Linked DNA regions of Kluyveromyces lactis. The protein of the gene in region 4 interacts with the protein of the main gene of each other region in a pairwise test. Links are inferred from orthologs where the notes say so. Each region holds a gene or a part of one and is shown on either strand. Other genes may lie near its edges.

Region 1 (3,531 bases), on a different chromosome or scaffold from region 4:
ATACCGGAACTGGTTCCCTTTAGACTAACAAGGGATATTGTAGACGGATTTGGCGTAGCAGGTATCGAAGGTTTGTTTAGAAATAACTGCGAAAGAGTATTTAAGGTGTTACAAGACGAGAAAGAGCGATTATTATGTGTTCTAAATGTTCTGAAATGGGACCCATTATATTCATGGAAGATGACTCCCTTGAAGAAGCAAAGATTGCAAGCAAAGTTTACTGGTGATTATGATGAGGAGGAAATTAGTGTTTCCGATGCAGATTTCAGCGAGCTTTTAGAAGAAGATAATAATAATGATGAATCCATAAGAGCACTAAAGGGAGTTGAAAGTAAGTTATATGGAGACGGTTTGAGCGTTGAAGCAATTGTTCAGGAGCTTTTGTCCAGTGCTACTGACAAACAAAATTTAGCGACAATTTACATGGGATGGTCCCCATTTTATTAAGATTGATGTGTTTGAAGTTCTTACTCGAGATGAAGACTTTATTATACTACCAGCACCTGAAGCGATTTGCAAGCAGTATAATTATAAATAATAGCATATTCATTAAATAGCATGATTCATTCGAAGCAAGTATTTGCGTGTTAATGAAGAATTCAGTAACTGTGTTGATAAAAGCACTTGAATTTTTCGCGAATAAGGTTGATAAGCCGGTTGTTATTGCAAACTGTGGAAATAATATAATATAAAAGACGATACACAAATCAAATGTTTAATGATACAAACTGATGGGAGGCAGTAATAAAATCAGTGTGATTTCCCATCCAAAAGCTTAACGTAATTACTTGGGATAATCCCTGTTTCCCCGTTTGACTTCTTGGCTTTCCACCATCTACCCTCGATATCACCAACCCTGAGAATTTCGCCCTGTTCGAAGGATATTTCATACGCGTCAGTTTGGTCCGCTTGATAGGTATATAAAGCCTCTGCAGTGTATGGGAAACTGTTTAATTCTTCACCAATGTCACTGTATAGGCCTAATGTGTCTCCCATGGTAGTATCTGTGTTGGCATTGGTGGTATCTGTGATGAAAGTGCCAGTGGCCTGTGTATTCAGTGTAGCAGTATTTTGCGCATTAACATCAAGGTTTGGTTTCGAAGAGGAATGATCTGTATTTTCAAATCCGTTCAGCACTGTAGACGACACATACTTTGTAGACGATTGAAGTTCTGGCGCATACATGTTGCCACTGTGGCCCTCACCTTCGTCATCGTGGTGGACATCAGGCAGAGATGCTGAACGCAAGTCTTCCTGGTATTGGTATGGGTAAGAAGGTTTGACCGGCAGTCTCTGCGATCTGGCAATAGCCATGGATGTCTCTAGCACCGAAGGACGAATTCCGCGTAGTGAGAACGAATCGATCCATCTATTGGTTGGAGATGCATTATCTCCACCAAAATAAATCACCCACACCAAATTGATCATGGATAACAAGATAAATCCTGCTGCTGCTGCACCACTCTTGGACCCTTCATAGTACACAATACTGTTAGTACTATTCGAAGTATATACGAATGCGATACCAACAGCACAAGTAATGAACATTCTATAGTAGTCAACTAAATCCAAACAGTACACGATAAAAAGCGTAATCATTAGTAGTATCTCGTAAACTATAGTCCACCAAGAAAATCTTGGGAATGGAGACGTAGATGCTGCAACAGCAATGGATCCCGCCAATGCAATGATCCATGAGATCAATGCAATACTAAGTGTGCCTATGGCAAAAGGATCGCCCAAAAATGACGAGATGTTAAATTGATGAGATACATGCGGATTCTCCCTTACAGCACGGGCTTGACTTGCTTTAATCAACGCCATCTCTCTGTTTGCAGATATTCCCTTGCCTCGCTGGACTATTGGAACACTTGTGACAACACAACAACTAAAATTGAAATAAACTTGCTTCAAGTTCAAGTATGTTCGTATTGATTACTTTTTATATTTATGTATATACGGTATACATTTATCATTTTTTTTGGTGTCTGTCTACAATGAGAGATGAGTTATTTTTTGATCATGTGACAGGCAGCAACCAAAGGCTCGCTAGGAATACGCGGGCCGCTTATTTAGAGTGTCAATCGGGAGTACAATTGGTAGCAGTATCAATGGTTAGTCTCTAGTACCCTGTTTATCCTGTACCCTCAATGTGTCGCATGTAGAAATATGGTAGCACTTAGTGAAGTTATCATGACGATGAATCCCCAAATAGCAAGTAACAATGAGATAATTCTCAAGATTCGTTCTTTTGCTGGTGGTACAACGGATTTGGCGTACTCCGATGCGATTAACTTGTAGCCAAATATTCCAGGTAAGATGAAGGATATAGAAGTGGATCCGGTTGCTCCTACTATTGACAAAACGTTTGCTAGCGACGTAACACTCATAGCGAGGATGTACGAAAATAATAGGATTCCAGACGTGATAAAGATGAATCTAGGGCCTTCTAACGTTACTACTGGAGGCTGATTAGCGCTGTTTTCTTCAATTAATTCGTCTTCGCATTCGTAGGTTAACTGTTCGCTAGATTCGAGTTCAGAGTCCCGTAATAGACTGTTTTGTTCTGCACTTGTGGTTGTCATTGGGGGATGGGTGTTCCCCTTGGAGAAGTAATGTAAGATATGATTGACAGATGCTCTAGCTGGATGACATTGTAGCGGGAAGGCAAGGATCACTAACAATGCTATAGCTATTCTACCGATGGTGCTGGAAATGGAGTTTGGGTATAAGGTGATAATGTTACCAGTAATATGATCACCGAAGGTGCAATAACCTAGCGCTCCAATGGAAATGTACAAAGACATTGCTAGCGTAATGGCAATCCTAATCAATTTCGTTATACTGTCTAAAGATTTGTCTGATTGTTCATTGATGATGGAAAACATGTTGTGATGGCAAGTATACGCGAAAACGAAAATTGGAAAACTGCTTAGCATGGATGAATCCACATCACTGGGTTTCCAGATGCTAACATGGCCTCTTAAATGGTCGATTTCGCTATTTGGAACGGCAAAATGGAAGACAACTAATACGCATAAGTACCCAACTGCTGTAATTGCAATGGAAGAAGTGTACCTTAAAGAGTCTAACTTCTTAATGAAACACAACGGTGTCACGATGATCAACGTAACTGCAGTGATGTGAAACTGGCGTGATAAGAGCCACCCATGGGTTGTAAACGTGGACATTATCTGTGGTAACAAATCTCCAACGACCACCAAATATGAAACTCCGACCCCAAAACATTTAACAGCAATTGCAGCATCGAAAACGACGCTCAATTCAGGACGAGTTAATCTGCAAAGAGTGAAAAACGAGGCATGTCCAGGAGGAACGTATTTCGACACGTATGATTGTAAATATAACCCCGTAGAGGAACACAAGCCGCAGAATATAATCATTGACAAACCCAAAATCAATCCAAAGGGTTTAAAAGCATAAGGCATTGCAAGGATACCAGCCCCGCATGCCGTATGAAGAAGTGTGATGACCCCAGATTGTACACTGGATGACATCCTGTACTACGTT
Region 2 (4,915 bases), on a different chromosome or scaffold from region 4:
TGAAGGAGGACACTAACCCAAAGAAGATTGGTGTTATCGGTCACTGTTTCGGTGCCAAATACGCTTTATTACAAATCAATGAAAAAGTCGGTTTGGCTGATGCAGCTGCCCTTGCTCACCCATCATTCGTTGAGATCGAAGAAGTGGAAGCAGTTGGTAAAAAGCCAGTGCTGATTTCTGCAGCTGAAACTGATAACATCTTCCCTGAAGAATTAAGATATAAGACCGAAGAAGCTTTAAAAAAACAAGGCAGCTACTACCAAATCAATGTATTTGGCGGTGTTTCCCATGGGTTTGCTGTCAGAGGTGACTTAAGCATTCCAGCAGTGAGATATGCTCAAGACAAAACCATCGAAGACCAAATTTCATTCTTCAAATTCTTCTTCAATTGCATCTGAAAAGCTTAACTATATATCTGTTAGCTTTTGCAGGATGTAACTACATTTTCCTTTGATTTTTGAATGTTAAAGTTACGTTGTAAGTTTACATATGTATATTTAGTTCAACTATTCATTGCTTCCTTAATTGTTTGTTTCTCCGATGGCTAATATGCGCAACCACATGTGGGAGGAAGAATGCAAAAAGGTGCAGATGTTCATAGAATGTATATACATCTTAATTCTTAATGATTTCTTGTCTTGGAATTATTATACAATTGCTCGCGTTCTTGAATACCAGAGTGTATGTGTAAGAGCTTACAAATACGGTACATTGTCAGATTTATTATTCGTTTGTCTGGTAAAACTGTTGTAGCTTGGGTTTTCGTTCAAATATGGGTTGCTACCAGAGAAACCTTGATATTGTGTGTTAGCAGAGAAGGAGTTTTCCGGTTTCCTTAAATTTGTAGTGCTTGGAGCTGTTGGAACACGGTTATAACTCGTGGTATTGTCCCCCATGACGGCAGAACTTGGCTGCAATGGTTCGTTTCCGCTCGAAGAGTCAAATCTTCTAATACGAGATGAAGTATCGTATGTGGTATTAGAGTCGTCGATATCTTCATCAAACAATAATCTTGCAGAATTATTTGATTGTTTCATTTCAAATTCGTCTTTTAAAGGTGGTTCGTTAGTGTGCATAGCAGCTCTACCCAAATCGAACAATTCTCCTGTTTCACCCTTTGTTTGAACCTTTGGAATGAAAGAAACACGATCATCCTTCATTGGTTGGTAACGAGCATCTGGGTTCTTGTGAACCAAGGCCAACACACACGTAACAATAGTGAAGATCATGAGGAATAGTGCAAAAATAGCGTTCACGACAAATAGTATGACTGCCATAACACTGGAAACCACAGTAGGTTGTCTGAACAAGTTCGAGAAGAATAAAAATAAGATAGAATTGAACAAGTTGACCGCATGAATCACGATATTGAACGCATTGGTACGTTTATCCAAGTAAGGTCTTAACCAACATAATGCAATGAAATATGCCAATTCTATAACGAAAATGATCATTGCTTGAGGTTTCCCGTGTTCTTGAAGTACGGCAACAAACAAAGATCTGAAGAACATGTATGCTAATAATGGCATCAACCACCAGTACATTTCAGCCTTGAATTGAACGTACAAGAAACCGAATCTATTCAAGAACGGAGCATCACCATAGAGCATGTATGCTGGGGTTTTGTATAAACGTGTAGATTCTCTCCCTCTTATGATCACCCTCACGACGCCATACAATAGTAATCCTGAGACAACAATAAGTATGACGACAGCGGCAATAACCACAGCGACGGAATCAATTTGAGTGAATTCCCATATGGATAGAATGGAAACCTGTGGGAAGGCAATGATGCAGATTCTGAACAAGGTACCTTTGATAATACTGGCCCAGGATCTTCTATATTCGTAAAATTTTGAAGTCTGTTTCATGTATCCTGCTCTCATTAGCAATTCGATGACAGCTTTGAAGACTGCCATACCGATAACCATACAGAAGACAAAGAAAAGAGTGAAGACGATACCTGTCAAAAAGACATTACTCAATTCAATGCCGGCCAAGTACGCGACACGCTTAATACCAGTAAAGACAATAACTTTAGAAGAAATGTCATCAATGTTTCTCTCATCCGAAGTGTATAAATCACTTTCGGAAAGCAACTTAGTGAAATCGTACCCATCATCAGCAGATATTCTTTTGTAAAGACCAGTGGTTAAACTGTCTAATGATCTTTTCGCAAAATCGTTAAACTGCGTTGTAAATCCTCTTTTCTGCACTGAGATGGATAGAATATCTTTGTTTGCTACGACCACAACAGGGGTACCGCCAGTAGCAGTAACATACCAATCGAATATATTTTGCATGAACCCCACTTTAATCATACCCATGGACCATTGGAAATTTTGGGTCCAAGCGGCAGCGATAGGTGGGACACGCGCCACACCCATCATCGAAGTGATAGCCAAATTTTGGAAGTACACAAACAATGAGATGGAGTTAGAAGCAATATGAGCAGCTGTGGTGGAATGTCCAATAACTGAAACGATAGCTGACGTGATAACACCCAATCCTGAAATCGCAGCGATAGGCCAAGCAGCATATTTGGTCTGAACGGTCTTACCATTGGACAGAGCAGCTTGCACACACGCTAGTGGCTCTTCGAAACTTGTATCGTTTGTTGAGTAAACGATGACACGCACTTGTGCGTCGATATCAGGAACTGTGTACGCGACCCCTGGAATGTTACCAACCATGTCGTTATCCTCATCCAAAGAATACGTGGATTTTACCTCGATTCTACCTGCACTTAGAGGACACATGGAGGCTTGGTCCAAATCACATAAGTTGAACTCTTCGTTGAGGACGTTTAGCCCATAAATGATTAATTCGATCTTGGCAGTGACATTTTCGCTAATGGTGGTAGTAGCATCGATATCAAACACAGCGGTCTTATTATCGGGGAAGAAAGTGACTTCGAAGAACGACGCAGAAAATTGCGAGTCTTCCATGCAAGTGAGAAGCGAGGACGTCTTGATGTGTTTGAGACCATTGGTGAACGGTAAAATCACCAATGTCGTGAGAAATCCGACAAGCAGAGAAAAGGCCCGCATGATGACAAGAACAACAAGTGTATACTGGGGAGCAGCTGCAGCTTAGTAGTCTCTGCTTTGTTTAAGGTATGTAATCTTTGATGGTATACAACTCTAAAGGGAAGGTTACCATTAACACTAACGCAATAAGATTCTCTATTTAAAAGTCGATAAAGGTTAAAGTCAAATCAAATAAACTTATTTCAACTGAAATTTCAATAATTTCAATGTTGAGAAATTGTTATTTTTGGAAATACCAAAACGGTAAAGAAATTGAAAAGGCGCAGCATTCACCGTTAACCAGGATGCGTACGATGTGAGGTACACGAAATCACGGGACCTACAGCAAGTATATAGCGAAAATAAGTATACATGAAGTCAGATAAGAAGGGGAGAGGCACAGTGCAACGGTAGACTGATTGTAAAGGGTGTATTCCTGCCTATCCTGTTCGCTCTATTTCCTCAAATCAAGGCTGTTGTTCCCTTTGCATTGTCAGTTACAGGAAAAAGGGAAGAATGCTGCATTAGCATAGTATACGTATTATTTGTTTTCTATATTCCTAACAAGAAAATAGTAGTTTTTTTTTAATGCAATATCAGAAGTTTGATCTCTTGATTCGCGAGTCACGTGTGTATATCAGGGTAATAAAGCAGTGGAAGTCACGTGTTTCCACAGTGGTGGATTCGGGTAAGGCTGTGATACTGGACACAGGACCCTGTTTACGCAATAAACAGACAACGGACGAATGTCCATTGTCCGTCTCTCTTCTCCCCTCCAGGGTTGTATGCTCGATAACGTAACAACCCCGATTTTTTTCTGTACAGAACACTTTCCCAAAAACTGTCCGGGTGGTACCGAGAGGATTAATGGAAGCTTTCCCATTCGTTTAACCGCCGAGCACGCAAAACCCAAGCAAAACTTAAGAAAAACCAGGCAGAGCACAGGCATAGCTTCTCTCCACTGCTTCTCCCCTAGTCATCTTTTCTGCTTCCTATAATTCTTATTTTTTTCTCCACAAATATTCTCTTCTCAAAAAAAAAAAAACTGGATGGATGGATGACCCGGTGCGACCGGCTGGATCCACATTGATTTCCCCTCACAACCGCACTGCAAAACGCGTTAAACGCGGCAGTTCTCCAAAATTGGAGCAATCGAAAAAGAAGGGGAAAATCCCAGACATGTCAAATGAAATCGTCTCGTATAAGCTCTGGGCCGCTTCTTGACAGGCTATGCTACACGTAAACGGGAACTGACTAGAAAGGCTGGAACAATAGAAGAGAGACACTTGGACAAAATTAAGGGTTCAATTCTCAACATGATACGATACTCAGAGATCATCTTCATCTTTAATCGCTACTCCGTATCTATTCCGTATCCACTCCGTTAGTGACTCCGTAGCCTCTCCATTATCTGGTTTCCCATTTTACTCTTTGTTTCCTCTCTCGATGGCAATTACAAGATAGCTAATTACTATCACATCTCTGAGTTCTCAACAGAAACAGGAAAAAAATAATGACCCATTCTTTTCTTAATTGATACATGTTTTCGATTACTTTCTAAGCGAATGAATGAATGATCATCGTTCTTATTTATCCATATTGTAATTAGTGAGGGGAAAACAATGATTTGACTTGATGGAATAGTATTTAAATAGACAAGAGTTTTGTAACTGTTGGACATCATGTGAGTTTGAAGTATGGTGTATTTATATAATAATTATGTTTATATGTTAGTTGTTGGCTAATACTAGTAATCAAACACAATTATCTAACAGGGTGACAGAGGTAGTAGTGATATAAAAATCCATATTTTGTGCCAAATGTCTCCTGCTGTTGATACCGCTTCCACCGCCAAAGATCCAATCTCAGTCATGAAATCTAACGCT
Region 3 (4,756 bases), on a different chromosome or scaffold from region 4:
GCCAAAGGTAAAACTAGTGTTCCCACAAGCTCCATTGCGATGATGAATTGCATTGAGAAACAAAAAGTACCACAAAGATCCTTCACTAAGACCAACTCAAACAAATTGTGGACAGTAGAGTTAATCCAACGTCTTCTTTGGGAAAGCAAAACTTTGAAAGTGGCTGGAACAACGGTTTTACAAGCAGCCTTAGGAACAAAAACTGTTTTACGTTTGGGGAATGTTTTCAAAAGTAGTGATGATAGATATCTATCTTCACCTAATAATAATAGATTCTTCTTATGCAATGTGTCCGTAACGTTATCTGAATACCTTTCGACGATATCCGGATTCGCAAGAATAGGAACCCAAAATCCGTCTTTACCTTTCGGCGTCTTAATTCTATAAACAGAAAAACAACCTGGCAAACACGTTACGGAACCGAAAACCGATTCAAACGCCTTAGACTGATGATGAGAAATAAAATACTCAAAAACTTGGATTGCACTAACCCACGATTCACCTTTATTGGCGATTTTAGTCTCACCGCACAATCCCATGATTAATGGATCATGCACCATTTCTGAAAGCATATGAGTCAAAGAGTCTGGGAAAACCTTAGTATCTGCATCAACCATTAATACTGTTTCATAAAAATTAGCCATTAACCCTGTAATTTGCCATATATTTTTCATTAGTTGGAACTCTAAAGCCGACATTCTTTCATCAAAAGTCACTTTTTGTAGGAAAGACATCAATATAATTTGTGAATCACGCTTACCTCTGTTACCAGGCTTCGCTGAGCCTTGTTCTTCAGCTGTACCACATTTTACAATGGTGATAATTGGAACACGTTGCTGATTTTCGGCGGGTATGGTGGATTCATCGTATTTATAAAACCCAGCATATATTTTTGCCATATTATGTCTTTTTGCGCCAACTGCAATTGCAACGTAAGGATAAGCTGTAACTTGCTCCTTGGGAATCACAAAGTCTTCCATCATATCTAATACTATGTCCGGGGTGGTTCTGTCATTACCAGAACCTTTAATAATACCATCGCAGATTACAACGATTAATTTATGAGAGTTTGGATAATCTGTGGTTGCAATGGAATCTAATGTTGTTCTTAAACCTACCTCATCTTCTGAATAACAGGTGACACAGCAGAGTGAGTGAACCAATGGAAATCCATAGGGCATGAAGTCTGGGGGCGGCTGTAATACTGCATCGGGGTGAATGATCGTTGGATCTAACGATTCCATAGTCATTGAAGTACCGAAAGGATCAAGATTGTCGGAAAAAGGATTAATAGTGGAGACCGGTCTTGACTGCGAGGCGAATCCAGCATGTGCACTTTTTCTCTTCATTTCATTCATATATGCTGATTTCAGCACGGATTGTGTAGTCATTGTAGACATACCAGTACTTTCAAGGCTCTGAATGACAGGATCATTCAAGTGTACAGATTTACCCAATGATTGTTGGCTAAATCGGGATTTACGGTTGAATAAACTGATACTGGAGCTGTTTTTTTTATGATTTTTCTTCATTGGTCTTAATGATGGATCAACGGGCTTCAAAGGACCACGAGAATTGATATCTTCTGACCAATCTTCTAAGTCGTTATTATGTTTGGCGAGTTGTTTGTTGTCAACAGTGTACGCACCTTGTTTTTTTGCTACAAAGTAGTGGAAGTAGCACGCGATGAAGAATTTACAACCGACAACGGATAGAATGAATACCAAAGATAAATATAATACCACTTGAGAAGCAATACAGCCGATACTTTCTGAATCAATAACACCAACCTTAGCAAGTTCAACGAGACAACGGGCTACATTTCTTTCTCTGCTAGTGGATAAGACCAATGAAATGTCATAACCTTCTAAATTGGCTGATTTCAAGACATCAAATGTCTCTGGATATGTAAGATCGTCAGTTTCTAGCCAGTCTAAGATCCCCAAATCAATAACGTCACCATTATATACAATCAACTTTCTCGTAGAATTTTTAATATCCTCCCAGGAGAAGTATACCTCCGCCGGGGCATTAAGGGCATAGTACTGTTCCCTGGCAGTCGAGCTCGTGTGACAACCCCAGCCAGCGTAGTATTCTGACTCTGTGAAGTTAGGTTTACTTGAACCATCTTGGTTAACAAGTTTGCATGGGAAGTACCATGCCATATTTCCGTCGTCATCGAAAGGAATAGTAGAATTTTCTCTTGGTTCAATCAACCCTTTGCAGTTACCGTTAACGTTTTGGAAAAGGAAAGACGCGTCCATGCCACCAGCATTCACAGGAGGATATAGAATATTAGATCCCCCAGGGATACCAGCTGCAGCTGGATGAGAAGAAGATTCTAGAGAGTATGCCTGTCCATGAATAATTAATTGTCCTGTGGTGGCTTCATTGTTGCGCATCCTTACTTTGCCTGGAACACAGACAGTTCTTGTGAACCCGAAAGTCAGGTAAGCGACAAACGCTCCAATATAAAAGATGATTGAAATCAACCCAATTTTATCTCTCCATGCTCTTTGAACCGCTTTTGTCTTCATGCCAAACAATTTTAAAACGGAAGGAGGAATGAAGATTGTAATCAAAAAACAGTACGATTGCCATAACGAAAAGCCCACTTTGGGCTTGTTTTGATCTTTGGCCTTAGATTCTAACCTTTGTCCGATCTCTATTGGAGGAGACACGTTCTTTTCTGAATAAATACTGTTTTTCTTTTCAAACCCATCGCTACCCTCCATTACCAACCTTTCATTTGGTTCACCATATTCACCCACTGTGTTCAAAGAAGAACTTGGAAGTTTATCGTTTGACTGTACATTCAGGTCTTGCATTGGAATATCCAACGAGGACTCTTCAGGCAAAGCACCTGTTGTGGAAGGATTGATCTGAAGATGAGTTTCCTTCGCTTTTAAAGCATAATAATGGTATGGATGGTCTGGATCTTTAAAACTATTTCTTTCAGGTCTGACCAAAGAGCCTTGTCTTGAAATCTGTCTCTGAGACCGAGATTTCAACAGTGACTCGTTGTCAAATGCATAGTAATCATCAGACATGAGGGTCTAAATGATATTGTGTTCAAAATGAAGAAATCGGACAACAAAAAAAACCACAGTCGAAAATAAATAGATATATGACCTCAAATGATGGTAGAAAACAGCAGTTAATATCCGTAATGTGAAATGAATAGAACAGACAATGTTGCTATTATTTTATTGTCAATATTTTTTTTCCGAGTTTTAAGTCAATTACTATTTTTATCACAGATCAGATTCTTTAGTATTGAAACGAATGGGGACTAAATGCACCGAATGGTATGTATGCAACACTCTAACCGCACGTATGATAAAAGCAGAAAACAACAGGGTATCTTCGAAGGGAAATCTCACGATTGGTGCGCAGTCTGCAACATGTAAATATTTCAAGAATTAGACATAAACAATGACAATAATATTAATGTTCTAATGCTGATGATGGAGATGATGGTTTCTGTGTTAGCTTTTTCGAAACCTGGGATTTACTTCAGATTATATTTACCCGGATATTTCATGGGAATGGCGTCCATTCTTTTACCCGATTGGGTTAAAGGACTTGTCACGTGAGGCTACTCCTAATCAAGAATTTTCTCGGATATTCCGGAGCACAAGCGGTGCGTGTGTTCCCGGGTTCGAATCTTTAGGGGACCAGTAATATATATATATATATATATATATATATTACGATGTGTGCTGCAACAAGTTACAGAGTAAAAGAGATCGACACATGAGCCGGTGATGAGGAAAAAAGCCTGATCCAAGCAACCACGGCAAGTACCGACCTGAGATCTCGGGTATGGTGATCCTGTATATGATATGATTATCATGAACTTTTTTTCCGAATCTGATTCCGTTCTTCGAATTGGCAACTGTTTAGTTTATTTGGAACCCTATCTCGCATTTGATAACGTCGCAAAAAAAAATGGACTACCTAGATAGAATTAGGTTAAAGGCTGCAACTCGATAAGCGAGAGATATCGATAGGTTGCAAGATATTGACTATAAGACATGTTTCAAAACATAAATATATATATATGTATACTAGAGTTGGTATTCTTGTTTGTCTCCAGGTTATGATGTTCCCTTTCCTGTTCAGTATGGAGCTAGTTTGAGCTACAAACAATACATAAACATCAAAAAAGAAAACTTATGACATCTACCATTGCTCCAACAACTACAACTACAACTACTGATTCTGCGACAGGCACAATCAATCTCGTCGGCCATGTTCCTTTGCAGATTGCTCCTGGAAGATTGAACGATACAATCTTATCTACCGGCAGCGAATTTGGAGGTGTTGCCAGATGGGGTGAAGAACGTCACGAATTTGGTATGAGGAGACTTGCAGGGACCGAATTAGACGGTAAGATGAGAGATTGGTTTGTTCGTGAATGTAAAGATCTTGGTTGTTCCATTAAAATTGACCAAATTGGTAACATTTTCGCCATATATCCAGGTAAGAACAGTGGGACTAAACCAACTGCGACAGGCTCGCATCTCGACACTCAGCCAGAAGCTGGTAAATACGATGGTATATTGGGTGTCTTAGCCGGGTTAGAAGTTCTAAGAACGTTCAAAGATAACAATTACGTCCCAAATTATGACGTGTGCGTTGTCGTTTGGTTCAATGAAGAAGGTGCCAGATTTGCCAGATCTTGTACTGGGTCTTCTGTCTGGTCACACGATCTTTCCTTAGAGGATGCTTACAGCTTGGTGTCAATTGGTGA
Region 4 (4,258 bases):
TATGAGTATAAGATATAAATACAAAACAGGAGAGCAATCATTTTGAAGTCATGATTTGTATGGGTAGGTATTGTGTCCTGGTTGGTAAAAATGCGACATTGAAGTTGTCTATTTTGGTAAAAAGTAAAGTAGCTAGCAGTGAGTTTTATCCAGTAGAAGCAGTAATTGCGTTCAAACTTGATTTTACTAGACCTGCATATTATTCAAAGAATGGATTGCAAAAAGGATTATCGGTCTGGATGAACCTGTTGTAAATATGACATCTTTTGAGCATAGCGCCACATATGACGAAAACGAGACAAGGAAGCTTGAGCAACGGCTAGGACATCACAGCAGCAAAATACCACGTGTTGCATTAGATTGTAACGTGAACAATAATTTACTGGATGATGACCCTTTTTTCTTTTATATTAATGACGCTGACGAATTGAACTATTTGAAAATGCTAGGAGTGAACGTATCCCCCGAGAAAATTGAAGAAATCTTGATAGAATTTCGGGCACAAGTGCTAGCATTAGATACTATCAATACCTTAGAAAGGCAGCAAAATTATCTTTCTGCTGAAGAATCACTTTCTGCTCTCCTTTATAAAGAAGCACAACGACCACCACTGAAGACTAATAGTTACAAACATTTGTTCAAGAAAATCCTTATATTCTGGCGTAAACACCAATATGCGATGAATACAGACATATCTCTAGTAGATTCATCGGTAACTTCTTGTTCATCTTCCATTTTTCCACAAAGAGTACAAACGATACAGCATGAAGGATCGTTTTTCAGTCTCACGAATAGTCTCATATCACCAAATAAAAGGAAAAAGACGTGGTTTATACAAGGACATTTGAAAAAGCTTTTCAAGCTACAATGAACAACCAAAAAAAAACTGTAACTCAAGTTTAAGCGTTTGATATAGTAATGTTTTTACTTAAATATCTCTATCTTATAGGTTATCAAGTTCGAATGAATCGTCATCAGTGTTAGGCACCTTTGTATAACCAGATTTGTTTTTTGCTGGTTTGTCCGCAGTAGAGGGTGCCTCGTCAATGGATAACTTAAAATCATCGCCCTGGTTTTCTATGTCATCTGCCCATGCAACGGATTTGTTTGATGAAGGTGGCCTATTTTCCGGATCTATTAGAATAGCATGTATTTGCTTTCTGAAACGTTCACGCAAGAAATAATATGCAATGGTACCGGTAATTGAGAAAACGACCAGAAGTATGACAGCGATTTCGAATTTATCAGAGTTCCGGTGTCTATCCTTGTGCGAGTTCTCATCTTCATCTTGTTTTTGATCAGCTGACAATTCCTCTTCTCCTGTTGAGTGGTCCGAGTGTACAACGAAGTCTTTTGAGATAATAACATCATCTTGATTGTCTTTTCCGACTACTAACTCTACATCTTTCAAATAGATGTCCATAATACCTCTGCTGATTAAAGCATTATCGTAAGGGACCATATGCGATGCGTTGTACACGGAAACATACGTCAAATTACTTTCGTGCTTCACAAAACCTGCAGAAATTGTGTCATCTGTAAACTGGTCGTAGTATTGCCAGTCATAGTATTCGGCATCATTAGTAAATCCGGTATGATTGTTCCATTTCATATTTTTAATCAAATCCTGCACACCCCTTGAGTTGCAAATGATATCCTTATCACCATTGAACAAGAAAATTTGCATGTGTTTCAATAGATTGGGTAACAAATGAATCGAAGGCTGGGTGTTCTTGTTCTTCAAATGACTGCTCACCTTACTGTCACATTCTCTCCAATGTGGGACTTTATCAACATCCAAATGTAACGAATCCATCACACCTGGCTTACCCAAGAATTTAGAAACGCTAGGTAAATCATCTGGCCAGTTGCTTCCACAAGCTGGGTAGGAATCGAATAATCTAAAATCATATATGTTCGTACACTCCTGATTTGAAGGAACTTTATTCCCATTTTCATCTGTCTTTCTGCGGGTGTAATAAAGGATTTTGGTCAAAATATCTTCACATTCATCAAAGGAGAACTTTTTACCTCCATTATTATTGACTAAATTTTGACAACGACTATGCATATTTAATAAATCAGGGAAGTAATCAGCCTTCGTTGAAATTAAGTTATTCTCCAAAGCAAAAGGAATGTAAGATAAGGATTGTTGATCAGGATCAATCCAACCATTTCCAATCAACAGACTCTTTAAATTGTACTTCTTACCACTTCGGCTTTCCTCCTCATTGTCGTCTTTGTCCAATTTCGAGTTGAACTTTAGGATTTCATTAGCAAAGAATGGAATATACTGACCAGCATACGATTCTCCTGCCAAAACAAGGTCTTTATCCAAATCATCAGGGAAAATCTTGAAGTAGTTCTTTAAAAACTTCATGAAATGCTTTGAAACTTGGTTCAAATCTTTATCATATTTCGAATCACCTACCGTGGAAAAGCCAGTACCAGCAGGTTGATCCACAAACACAATATCACCTCTAGTGTGCCAAGAACCCGGATTTAAATAGGCTTCGCCGTCGTCATCGATCCGTAACGCACCTGATTCCATAAGAGCCCCATCTAAAGATGAGCATCCAGGCCCACCATTTAACCATATAATTAAAGTTTTGGATGCGACGACAGACGTCTGATTTGCGAGGTCATGGAACTTCCAAAAGAAATAGTTTTTCTCATCATCATCATCATCATCATCACCATCATCTAAGGGAATATGACCTGCATGCATTTCCGGGATAAGTTCCTTATCTTTAACGTCATTTAACCCAGGCAACAAATCGGGGGCCACTAAATAGTCCTTGGCATTTGGAAGACCTCCCAATGCACATTGAATGAGAAGAACCGTTTGAACAAAGAAAAGCCAAAGAGACATGACAGCACTCTAATTATATTCTAATGATTGTTGTGATTCATCCATGAAACCTTACTGTTAATATCAGCAAGAGAGAAATGATAAAAAAGAGAATAAAAAATATCGAGCGAGAGTCACAGCGCAACCTTTTATAACACAAATACGGCCCTATAAATGTCTAACAAACTGAAATAAACAGCGAGGTCTGAACCAAATAGGCGTTTTTAACGTTGATTCACCCCAGCAAAACCATATTCCTAAGTAATTTCATTTTTACCAAGCCTTTATTTAGCTTTAATATACACGAAACTTTCAAAACTGGCACTGGCAGTATATCCCTCCATTGAAAAAGAAAATCTATGTAAGCAAAAAACAGTCACGTGATATATATATATCGCGTGACTAATACCAAAAGCCTGTTAACATGAAAACCTGTCAACGACAAAAGGAAATACATGGGTCACAATTTCCGTGGTAAGAAGTCACATAATAGGCCCTGAGTCATGGATCGAACTCTCCAATACCGCAACTACCCCATAGTTACCGCAACTAACCGTACTTTACCGTAGTTGAAAAAAGAAAACGAAACACCGACAGGGCAAAAAGTCAAACCAGGAAACCCAATGCCTAAAATAACAAAGACATTTGCCTCGGAAATAACAGCATCACTAACCGTTACTTACCGCGATGCTGACCACTGCATGGCATATTCTCATTGACACCTTAATTACAGAAATCAACTTAAAACTAGAAACCCTGTGAAGAATAGTCACAAGATCTAAAGATATTACGATGTAAAGATGTAGCCATTCCAGTCGTTATCGTTAAGTGACAACCTTTATCTCGAGCACTTTATTTTTTTCCCTCTATTATCAGTCTTACGCAGTATGCTCTCTCTAAAACTTAAAAGTCTGTACCTAATTGCAGTCAAATTTCTCCAAAGTTACTTTTTCAGCTGGAATTTTTTTTTTCAATTTCAGTTGAGAAATTTACCAGTATGGTATATGCTGTAGTGAATCATACAGTATTCCTCATGTATATGTTAATATGTGTATATATAAGCAGCTGCGAGATGAAAAGATAGAATAGACATTCGCGTTATGAAGGATTAGTTTGTGCAGTTTACACAGTTAGATTTGGTTTATACACTGTTTGTAATTCTTATATACTTTAGATATATTATCTTGGCTTAGCATCAAACCAATCTAAATTGAACCAAAAGCTTTCACCGAGAATACATATTACATCATGACTCAAGGTGTTGCTAAGGATTTTTCACACTTGTACAGTGATGAGACTAAAAGTCGTATGCCTTCTCAATTGAAGTCAATTATACATTATTTCAATGATCCAAACTTGATCTTTTTGGGTGGTGGTTTACCAATGTCTGATTACTTCCCATGGGAT

Evidence for each region. The genes of interacting proteins can lie anywhere in the genome.
Region 1: the proteins of KEX1 (region 4) and SHO1 interact in a protein complementation assay, tested with the Saccharomyces cerevisiae proteins (2 studies listed by BioGRID). The link is inferred for Kluyveromyces lactis from reciprocal best matches to the Saccharomyces cerevisiae genes KEX1 and SHO1.
Region 2: the proteins of KEX1 (region 4) and FLC2 interact in a protein complementation assay, tested with the Saccharomyces cerevisiae proteins (2 studies listed by BioGRID). The link is inferred for Kluyveromyces lactis from reciprocal best matches to the Saccharomyces cerevisiae genes KEX1 and FLC2.
Region 3: the proteins of KEX1 (region 4) and CHS3 interact in binary tests that used the Saccharomyces cerevisiae proteins (3 or more experiments, as listed by UniProt). The link is inferred for Kluyveromyces lactis from reciprocal best matches to the Saccharomyces cerevisiae genes KEX1 and CHS3.

The regions. Positions count from the first base shown.
Region 1 is NC_006041.1:628,070-631,600, reverse strand, and holds SHO1 (osmosensor SHO1), read right to left. Parts: upstream 1,825-3,531; coding exon 751-1,824; downstream 1-750. Other genes in the region: DNA-binding protein kinase TEL1, read left to right, coding at 1-447; AVT5 (amino acid transporter), read right to left, coding at 2,148-3,518. UniProt on the Saccharomyces cerevisiae protein: Plasma membrane osmosensor that activates the high osmolarity glycerol (HOG) MAPK signaling pathway in response to high osmolarity.
Region 2 is NC_006037.1:299,600-304,514, reverse strand, and holds FLC2 (flavin adenine dinucleotide transporter FLC2), read right to left. Parts: upstream 3,051-4,915; coding exon 696-3,050; downstream 1-695. Other genes in the region: protein AIM2, read left to right, coding at 1-398; ACS1 (acetate--CoA ligase 1), read left to right, coding at 4,850-4,915. UniProt on the Saccharomyces cerevisiae protein: May be responsible for the transport of FAD into the endoplasmic reticulum lumen, where it is required for oxidative protein folding.
Region 3 is NC_006040.1:301,727-306,482, forward strand, and holds the start of CHS3 (chitin synthase CHS3), read right to left. Parts: upstream 3,051-4,756; coding exon 1-3,050. Other genes in the region: KLLA0_D03520g (M20 family metallo-hydrolase), read left to right, coding at 4,179-4,756. UniProt on the Saccharomyces cerevisiae protein: Polymerizes chitin, a structural polymer of the cell wall and septum, by transferring the sugar moiety of UDP-GlcNAc to the non-reducing end of the growing chitin polymer.
Region 4 is NC_006042.1:922,470-926,727, forward strand, and holds KEX1 (serine-type carboxypeptidase), read right to left. Parts: upstream 2,873-4,258; coding exon 944-2,872; downstream 1-943. Other genes in the region: KLLA0_F09977g (uncharacterized protein), read left to right, coding at 257-871; ARO8 (bifunctional 2-aminoadipate transaminase/aromatic-amino-acid:2-oxoglutarate transaminase), read left to right, coding at 4,100-4,258.